2 linked regions of the Drosophila melanogaster genome follow. The protein of the gene in region 1 interacts with the protein of each later gene in a biochemical or structural test. Each region holds a gene or a part of one and is shown on either strand. Other genes may lie near its edges. The genes, in order: svp and Gug.

Region 1 (5,175 bases):
TTGGTCAGAGTGAGATTGCTATATACTGGCTAAGGGGGCGTGGCCTGCGAAAGAGCAAGAAAAACTTGACGAAACTCTAGCTACTGAGTGAAACCGAGTCCAATTGGAGGTGGCTCTCTCTCTCTCTTATTCGAGTGCAAACGCAAACTCGGGGTGGCGTATCGTTCATCATCCAATTGTACGTTTGCACTTCGCTCTGGCCTTCCCATGGCCTTCCCAACCCCCTTGATAACCACCGACAGAGGGCGCCAGACTCCGTGGCCCGTTACGCCCTGCGCCCACCCACTCCACTCATACATTTCGTTGGCAAGAGGTGGGCGGGGAAGTGCAAAGTGCGGTGGCCACAATTTGGCCCTTTGGACTGGCCTGCAACTCTTGGCTTTGCAGCCAGCGACACTTTTCCAATATTTTCCATTTCCCCAACCACCCGTTTTGAATGAAAAACGAAGTGGCAACAGTGTTGCGTGGCATCCAGCGATTGCCTTTAAGTTTTCACTCTCCAGAAGTTAGTTGCGTGCAAATGGGCGGTAGTTAAATGCTAATTTCAAATAAAAAACCAAGAAGTAACAGTCGCCAAATGGACATATCAGGTTGCGCGAGGTGTCCTCGTTAAGAATGAATTCAATTATCGTTATGATTTCATGTTTTGGCACTTCCCCAACCACATTTCCACCAGACACGTAAACAAAGTCAACAAAGTACAAGTCGAGGAGCCCAGGGACTGCAGTGCACTGATCCAATTAGCCAAGGGAAATTATTATAATTATATTACGACAGTCAGTGGGCTTCACTTGGCCACGACGGCTGCTAAACTTTCATTTAGGGGCAGTCCCCGGGTATATTGAGCGTTAATAATACGATGCGTTTTCGTTGCGCGACATTGGGGTCAGTATCGAGTGCCACTGCTCTTCACATTTTATGAATCGGTATCTGGAAGCAATGCAAATTTTATAAATATTCTCTGCAACACGTGCTTCTTGACAGACATTTTAATGACAACTTTTCAATAGCTGAGTATATCCCATTTATTTAATCACATAAAATTCATATAAAAGCAAGTCTGTTAGCTATTTATTGATTGCTTAGAGCAATAAAGGGCCGCTTTAAATATTGGCTTATTTATTGTTGAATAGCAATGCGATAAAAACTAATAAAGCAACTGGATCTATAATGAGTTATATATATAAATTTTATTATATAATTTTAAAAATGGCAACGGTTTTTCTTTTGGTTTTTTACAATCATATACCTTTTTCATATTGTAATCTATTCGCATCACATACAATCCTGCCACCTATCATCGCACTACCTTCATGAGTAGCAGAGATAAGCTCGATGTTCTTTGGTTGACAACCAATAGAAAAGAAGCTTTAAAGCAAACATTTAACCGCGAACGGGCATTATGGCCGCCAAACTCTTCCTCCAGATAAGAAATCGGACTTTAAGCGCCACTGAAATTGGTGAAATACAAAGTAGAACGCACTTTAAGGCGGTTGGCCAACCAGAGCAGAAACATTCGAGTAGCCAACAAAAAGATAAACAGCGCCGAAAAACTTTTTTCGGGGTGGAGACTCATTTTAAACAAATTGGCAAAAAGTTGAGACCCCCGAAACCGAAAAGTCCGGCGATAAAGAGCCTTAACGGTAAAAGTATCTAACAGATGCGCCCAACAGCGAGCTAATAAGAGCAAACGGGTTCTAGTTGGATTGGATGAGTGAGTGAGTGTGCTTCGTTGAGTGAGAGAGCAGCCACTCTGTTTCAGTTCAGTGGTGGTGGTGGTGGGTATACTGGGTGCACTGGTGGTGGTGGTTCAGTGGTGGTGGCAAACCAGCCAAACGCGTCGAAGGTCTTGCCCCACCAACGCGAGCGAGCGAGAGCGGCGATTTCACTCAACTAGAAGGCAATGCCAGCTAAACGAGAGTGAGCAGACCAGCACCACTGCCCGTTTGAGTTGAGTATGGGGAGCGGAGAGAGATTTGTGTGATGTGTCGTTAGGTCGAAACGGTCGAGTCGAGTCGGGTCGGGTCGTGTACCTTTTGCCACGAATGTTGTGCCAGTCAGGCTCTAAAAGGCCTTACGAGAACAGCTGAGATTTCGCTGCTCCGCATGACGCAAAGATACCGAAATTGAAAAATTTTCAAGTCTTTAAGATATTATATCTCGTGTGTGCGCCGAGCGGGAAATTAATAAGCAACATCGAAAAAATTCAAAAATTCAAAAATAAACCAAGTGTTTTATTAGTGAAGCCAGCTGAAATGTTAACAGCATATGCAGCTTAAAAGAAAATATTAAATTTATTTTAACATAAAGAAGAAGAATTATAACGCGGCTGACAAATACGAATAAAAGGATACAAGTTAAAAGCTAGAGCCGAGGACTCTATCGAAACCAAAGTGTGAACCGTACCAAGTGCGTACAAAGTGTATTCCAGCAATTATCCCACGTGTTCCGACCCGGCCGCCAAAATTATTACGCACAATTCGCTGAGCGTGTACGGCGGCGGCGTCATGTGCGCCTCCCCGTCCACGGCTCCCGGCTTCTTCAATCCGCGCCCGCAATCCGGCGCGGAGCTGTCGGCCTTCGACATCGGCCTGTCCCGCTCGATGGGGCTGGGCGTCCCGCCACACAGCGCCTGGCACGAACCGCCGGCCTCCCTCGGCGGTCACCTGCACGCCGCCTCCGCCGGACCGGGCACCACCACCGGCAGCGTGGCGACGGGCGGCGGCGGTACCACTCCGAGCAGCGTGGCCAGCCAGCAGTCGGCGGTGATCAAGCAGGATCTCTCTTGCCCCAGCCTCAATCAGGCGGGATCCGGCCATCATCCTGGCATCAAGGAGGATCTGTCCAGCAGCCTGCCCAGCGCCAATGGTGGATCCGCCGGTGGCCATCACTCCGGTTCCGGATCGGGTTCCGGTTCGGGCGTCAATCCCGGACACGGCTCCGACATGCTGCCCCTGATCAAGGGCCATGGCCAGGACATGCTCACCAGCATCAAGGGACAGCCCACGGGCTGTGGCAGCACCACGCCCAGCTCCCAGGCGAATAGCTCCCACTCGCAGAGCAGCAACAGTGGATCCCAGATCGACAGCAAGCAGAACATCGAGTGCGTCGTCTGCGGCGACAAGAGTTCCGGCAAGCACTACGGACAATTTACCTGCGAAGGTGAGTACACTGCGAGAAATTATATTCAAATAGGGGGGGAAACAGTTAGAGTGAATGTGTGAGCTAGGGATGTTACCACTCCACCAGTACATTAATTGTGCTTATGCCATACATGTCAATGTATCTATTTGGTGCCATCTTGAGGACCATCACATCTTGGCAATTTTTATTGCTGAGTAGCGATCTCACCTCCAAGGTGCAATTGGGGGTCAATTGATTTCGTACTCGGATTCGAACTGGGGATGACCAAACAGAAATGGCCAACGTAATAGAAAGCGAGCACAAAAGCGTGCCTGCCAGCCGCTGATTTTTGACAGTTTCGGTGAGTTATGGCAGTTTGATGAGTTGGCAATAAACCCTCGGCCAGGTGTGGGTGTGTGGCGGAATGGTAGAGCAGTGGGAATTCTTCCCAGGGCCATGCAAAAGTTGACGGGATGCAGCTGGAATGTATATCTGTGGGCCAGGGCAGTCAATAAACCTACGTGGAGCCCAAAAGCTAGTTAGTTGATCGGGGGCCCCAAATCATGTAAAAATGTTTTTACGAGCAAAAAATACATTTATGATCTAAAATATAGTTTGGTTTGACCCCAGCGAGATTTATGTTTGCGCATAAGCTTACTGTCTTTTGCTGATATATTATTGTGTCTAATTAAATTTTACAGCTGCAATTGCCCCTAAAGTGGTGATAAAGTATCTAAAAAAAAATCCCTGTTCTGGCAGATGATTTTCCAGATACTCAGATACTTTTGCATCTCCGGCCATCATTCCGTTACACTAGAGCTCGCAGCACGAGAGCTCTTGAATATAGCCATATATATATATATATACATATATTGCGATCTGGGCACCCACTGCCTCTCGGCCTTATCGTCAGATAAAAATTATTATCTAAATAAAATACGGTCCGTGCTTTGTCCTAAGCCAAACAATTGTTGTGCAAACATGCAAATTGTGCGGCGGCCGCTAAATGAAGCGCCCACCTTCTTATTGTCTCTCTCACTGGGTTTCTGGATAAGGGGAGCCTCACCTGGAGTTCCGGAAAAGAGGGGTGGCAGATGGGCAATGGAAGGCGGGAGGCGGGGCAGATGGGTAACTGCATTCAGAGATAGAGGGAGATCTGGCATACGCTCTGGCATTTAGTGCAGCTTGAAGTTGAACTTGTCATGCTCGTATCTCTTCAAATGTTCTGGCACTGGAGCACACAGGCAAAGCCACTGCCACAGCCACAGCTAAGAGCCAAGAAGTGACTATGACTGGGCAGAGGCACAGTGGGCCATTGGTATGATGATACCAGAGATTCCCAGATACTTGGCACTCCGTTGGCTCCCACTGTTCGTTCGCGGGCGCTGCTATTATTATTAATCACCGAGCATTTTGTACGCATGCGCAACCCACAAGAGCAACAATCAGAAGATATGCGGCTCTGTGACCGCCTCGTTGCATTCTGAAGGTGTTTCCCCGGATCCCTTCATGTGGCATAGTATGTAGTTGCCTGTTGGCCTGATGATGTTGCCACGATAGCAATCTATTTTGTTCTATGCAATCGCCCAGACTGCAGAGCTGTAGCTTTAGCTTCACTCAAATGCTGGCGAAATAAAACGTAGGAATAATCATAATAAAGCGCATAGAGCCCATATCATTGCCGGCGTTTTCAGGGTTTTTTTTTTATGTTTGCTACTCTGGTGCCTGGTCGCGTCCTTTCAGCTGATTCACTTCGAGGTGCAGATACTTTTCGTGGCTCTTAGAAAAGAAAGATACTCCACTCCACACCACTCCGTTGCGCGGCAACTCGTTTCGGCTGTCTGAGCTCTAAACTCGTGTGTGTCCGTGTGTGTGTGTGCTCACTTGTCCGTCTGTCTGGAGGTCCCTTCTGTCCGTATGTCTATCCGTATGTCCAGTTTCCAGGTTTCAGGGCACACGGCTAGCTATAGGTATGGGTATAGGTATGTGAATTTATGCCAAGACACCCCGCCAGTCGCGGTACTCGTAGCTGCAAGATTAATTGTAGCTTAT
Region 2 (4,817 bases), on another chromosome or scaffold:
AAACTGCCGCTCAAAAACAAAAAAAAAAAAAATTCTGATAGCCGCTAATTGATGAAGAAAGTGTGTGAAGCGCGAAATGAAAACTATTTTCGTTTTCCATACGCTGCTTGCTGGCCACAATTCATTAACTTCTGTCAGGAGATCATAAATTAAAATTAATCTAAGACAATTTAAGCAGGCTGCAACAGGCTGATAAAAACTCGGGTCGAGCGCCGTTTGAAAAGCGATAAGCGAAACCCATTGAAGTCACGCGAATGGCGACAAAGTCGGCGAAATGGTAAAAATGGAAAATGGAAAACCATCGATTGCGGTGGCCAACAAAAGTGGGCGGTAGGTGGTCGAAATTGGCTTAGCTATGGCCATGAACAAATATTATTTTTAATATTGCGACAGAAAAGCAGGAAGAAGAGGTCAAAGAACAACAATTGGCGGAAATCGAATGTGTGAAGTGAACGGGAAGGAAATGGCCAAAACACTCGTGCACACATACACTTACTCTTACGCTTACTCACTCAAAGTTACACTTTTAATGTATCACATATATAATCAGACTTATTTCCCCCACTTTTTTTCAGTGCATTCCCAGCTGCATGTTGGTTTCTGCGCTAAGAAGTGCAGCTGTCCTGATTTGCAGAAAAGGTCAGCAAACAACAAGCGATTCCCTCGAGTGGCCTGACTTGCCTAAATTTAGCTCACTCTTTTCATTCTTTCTGTTCCAATTAAACCGAATTAATCGCCAAAATCCACGCGCAATTACCCCCACTTACCCTTTTTTTACCATCAACCAAAGAATCTACACCCCCCACCGCCGCCTTTTCCTAATGATATTTTAACGCACTTGAGCTGGTTTCTATGCAAATATTGGGCGCTACTTAATGGCCAAACAAATGAGTTGGGCAAATAACATCGGGAATCGGAGTTACTAATTTTTACCTTGATGCTCCACATTTTCAATGGACTCGTCGCACATTTTGAGGATCCGTAGATTCGCAGCTCTTGATTTGTTTTGGTTTTTTTTTGGTGGTAGTGTTAAATGCCAGCGATTTTGCGAACCCTCAGAATTTAAACAGACGACGCGCTTCTTTAGAATTTCCCGATTTTCGCAGCGAGGTGATTTAAATCAGAATCCAAAAACGACGAAAAACAAAATAAACAATAGTGGTGGTGCGTCGGTAGATTTCTTGTGGCTATCGATGTTAGGCGCAGAGTCGATAGTCGCTTCTGCCGAAATGGCGCTTTTGTTCACTGTTCTAACAGAAATGTTAATTTACAATAGGGATATTTTACAATCAGTTGGATTTTTAAAAATTAAATATAAGTTTGTGGAATCGAATTTTTCGCCTATTAGGACGAAAATTAAGCAATTTATTTTTAAAGTAAGCCCACAATATGCTGCGACAAACTGTTAATATAGATCGACTGTTAACCAATTAAACTCCAACTTTCATCGTATTAAATTTCATAGAAAATCTGAAACACAGCTGTTAGCCATATATTAATGTTTAAATATATATCATTTATTTTTTTAACATATGCTTTAGAAGTTTTTAAGTCTTGTTTAAACAAATAAATTACCATTTCAAAAGACAAACTTACGAGTGCTCACCAACGAAAGCTGTTGGCTACACAACAATTGCTGGCTTATTTAGCACATGACCACCAGCAATGCTGCCACTCTGCCACCGCCAGCCTTGCCAGACCCCGCAAAGTATATATTTTTACAAAATGGTGGCTTCTTCGCGGAGAAATTCGTAGTGGCGATTTTTAACAAAAAGCACGCATCTTGGCCAGCCAATTATTGTAATTTGCTGGCGAAAACATTCGCAACCACGCTGGCTGCGCCGTGTGGCTGAAAATTCCGCGAAAAAGCAACCGAAAATCGCACAAGAACCCAGTGAAAATAACTGAAAGCGAAGGCAGGCAATAAAAAAAACGCAAGCAAGCAACCAAAGTGCGTGCCTGTGTGTGTGTGTGTTCGAGTGTACGTCTGTGTGCGCTGCTCTCTGTCTGTGCCTGTGTGTGCGAGTGTGCCTCTCTGTCAGTGTGTGTGTGCGCAAAGTGTATGCAAAAAAAGAAGAAGAGAAACGAAGAAGAGCATTAAAAAAAAGCGTACGACGAGTTTCACGCGCGCCCAACAACAAAAACACCAGAAAGCAGCAACAGCAACAACAACAAAATCCAACAACACTTGGCAGCAGCGGCAGCAATAAAAAAAAAAGCAACAACAAGCAAGCAGCGAAACGTAAGGAAAAATCTACAACAAGTGTGCGAAAATTAATTATTACTAAGTGTGTCACTAATTTAATTTGGAATCGCAGTTGCGCAGCGTGCAAATCATTCAAATTTATGTGAAGTCTTTCGGGCAGCAAAAAACAAAAAACAAAAAAATAACGAAAAACAGTAAAACAGAGAAAACAGTGGCGTATCCCCCCCCCCCCCCCCGCAGTTTTTGAAAGGGTGACCGACGGATGGGTGGGTGTTTGAATCCAGTCTATTATGAACTTTTTGGGGTAGAACAATGCAAACACGAACGAAGGCTCAACAAATTTGCTGAAAAGGAATCGCAAGCGCAGCAGCAGCAACAACAAAGCAAAAATCCAAGCGTCAGCAGCACGGGCAGCAACTAAAACAACAAAAACAGGCCAAGCAACAACAGCAGCAACCCACCACCGTTGTTGCCCCTTTGTTATTGTTGTTGTTGTTGTTGTTATCGTCGGCGTCACCACCGACGCGACGCAACGCGACGCTCTTGCGGCCAGCGCACCCACCACCCCCCAAGGATGCTCCTGCCTCGGACTAACCCCATTCCTGTAAAGCCCCCCCCCCCCCACACCGCCCTTCCCTGTTCCTGTGACCGCTCCTGCTGGCCGTGCTTCTTCTTCTTCTTCTTCCACTCAGTCAATTGCTGTTGCTGACGTTGTCGGAAAAATGTGTCTTGTTGCCTTTTTGCTGGCTGATAAATAAGCTAAAATATGTACTTACCCACTATTAATGCTAGAGAAGTGTTTGGAATTGTATTTATTGGCAATAGATTATAAAAAATATCGCTATAACTGGCGTTATTCCCCGTACTAATAGTACTATTGATATGGACTACTACGACTTACTTAGATATGTCATCTTGGTACTAAAGATTTTCTGATAGCTATTGTTATTCAATATTATACAGTCCAAATAGATAGATAGATTGATTATTATTATTACAGATGTTTTGAACATAGGTCTGCCTGGTTTACATTGTTTATAAAATTTAATAAGGAAAGGATCAAAGAATATGGGTCACATTATTATGTAATTAAAAGTTCTCAACTCAAAACCAGGTACATAGGATTTCAACTATGCTATGCAAATAGCTAACGTATAAAATTGCCAAGTTCTATGGCCTCATTTGGCGACTGCTTTTGGTAGTAGTATCGCTAGTGGGGCATTGTTTTTTCGCAGGGCGCTCCTTGCGCCCCAGCTGCTCAATTCTTCTGTTTGGTTCTTTCATTTTCTTTTTCTTTCGCTTAATCATCTCCATCGTCTCGGCTCTCACCTACGTCATCTCTTCGCCTTCCAGCTGTGTTTGTGCAAATTAACCGAAATATACATTTCCGGCTACTCGCTGCCTCCTCGCTGAGCAACAACTACAAAAACAACAACACCAATAACAACAGCAGGAACAACAATATCAAGAACAACAGGAGCAAAGCAACAAGAACCACCACGACCGCCGCCCACCCCCTTTGAAAATCCATCGACACAGCACCACATCACCATCGTCGTCATCATCATCATCATCCTCAGCAACTTGGAGTCTGGAATCTGGAGACGGAGACCGTAGACCGGAGTTACTTTGCCGCCTGCTGCTGGAGAGAGGAGCATCTTCGTGCGGGACGCCTCGACGATACACAACCCCGACTACGGATTCATGGTGAGCCAAGACATCTGTTCGAGCCCGGCGCACACATTTAATTATAATTATTTGTTTGCTTAATTCGATACTTCACGCTGGCCCCCGTCTCATGTGTCACATCCCCTCGATGGGGTTGCTTGTTCATTGTGCCGAAGGGTTTCCACTCGGCTAATGGAGGAAACTATTTTCCAATGGTATCCCAAAGCAATTAGAAAACCGGGGGGCGCGTGCCCCTAATCCGTTGCTTTGCTATTGTCGCTCATATTCGGATTTGTGGTGTTCATTTTGTGGGCTGGTGGTATTTAGGGGGAATTGCGATTAGATCGATGATAAGGCTTACACATACCCTAAACCCACTGAAACAGATCTTTATCGCCGCACTTGTATACTGCTAATGAGTTGCCTTGTAGGCCAATTAGTACACCCTTGTTCGGAATGAAAAAAAAAAGGGTTGACCGGGATCAGACAGTTTAGAAACTCTTTAGCGCATTGTTGGAAAATATTCCACTTGTTAATAACTATATGAATCTATCAAAACTAGTTTTGGTTGTCCTCTATATGTTTATCAATTTAAATAAAGATAATATTGATTAGCTGCCATTTTGTATTTATAGTGTCATCGTTTTATGGCCACATCTAGTTAAATAGATTAATTTGTATTGTAGCTATTGTAGGTCACTTGTTATACAAGCAATATGGTGCAGGATTAAATCAGAGCTAATGAGGGATTACCAGGTCATATGATACGCAATTTTACGCATTGTTCATGGGGGATTTACGGATCTCTTTATCTCTTCCAATGAAGTGCCATGGTTTAACTTGCTTTTAGCCAAGTGAAATTCGAGGCAGTTAGTTCTTGGAAAACGGAGATTGATTTCAAGGAAATTCCCAGACAATTTGCACCGCTTGCCGCCTTGCTTAT

What was found.
Region 2: the proteins of svp (region 1) and Gug form a complex in vitro, tested with the Drosophila melanogaster proteins (one study listed by BioGRID).

The regions. Positions count from the first base shown.
Region 1 is NT_033777.3:12,279,088-12,284,262, forward strand, and holds the start of svp (seven up), read left to right. Parts: upstream 1-2,022; 5' UTR 2,023-2,507; coding exon 2,508-3,162; intron 3,163-5,175. UniProt on the Drosophila melanogaster protein: Receptor that is required in photoreceptors R1, R3, R4 and R6 during eye development; generation of the ganglion mother cell-2 (GMC-2) fate in the nb7-3 lineage, coinciding with the transition in the expression of HB to KR in the neuroblasts (NBs).
Region 2 is NT_037436.4:8,448,216-8,453,032, forward strand, and holds the start of Gug (grunge), read left to right. Parts: upstream 1-1,706; 5' UTR 1,707-2,242; intron 2,243-2,432; exon of another isoform or gene 2,433-2,472; intron 2,473-3,559; 5' UTR 3,560-3,913; intron 3,914-4,817. Other genes in the region: CG6983 (uncharacterized protein), read right to left, coding at 934-970.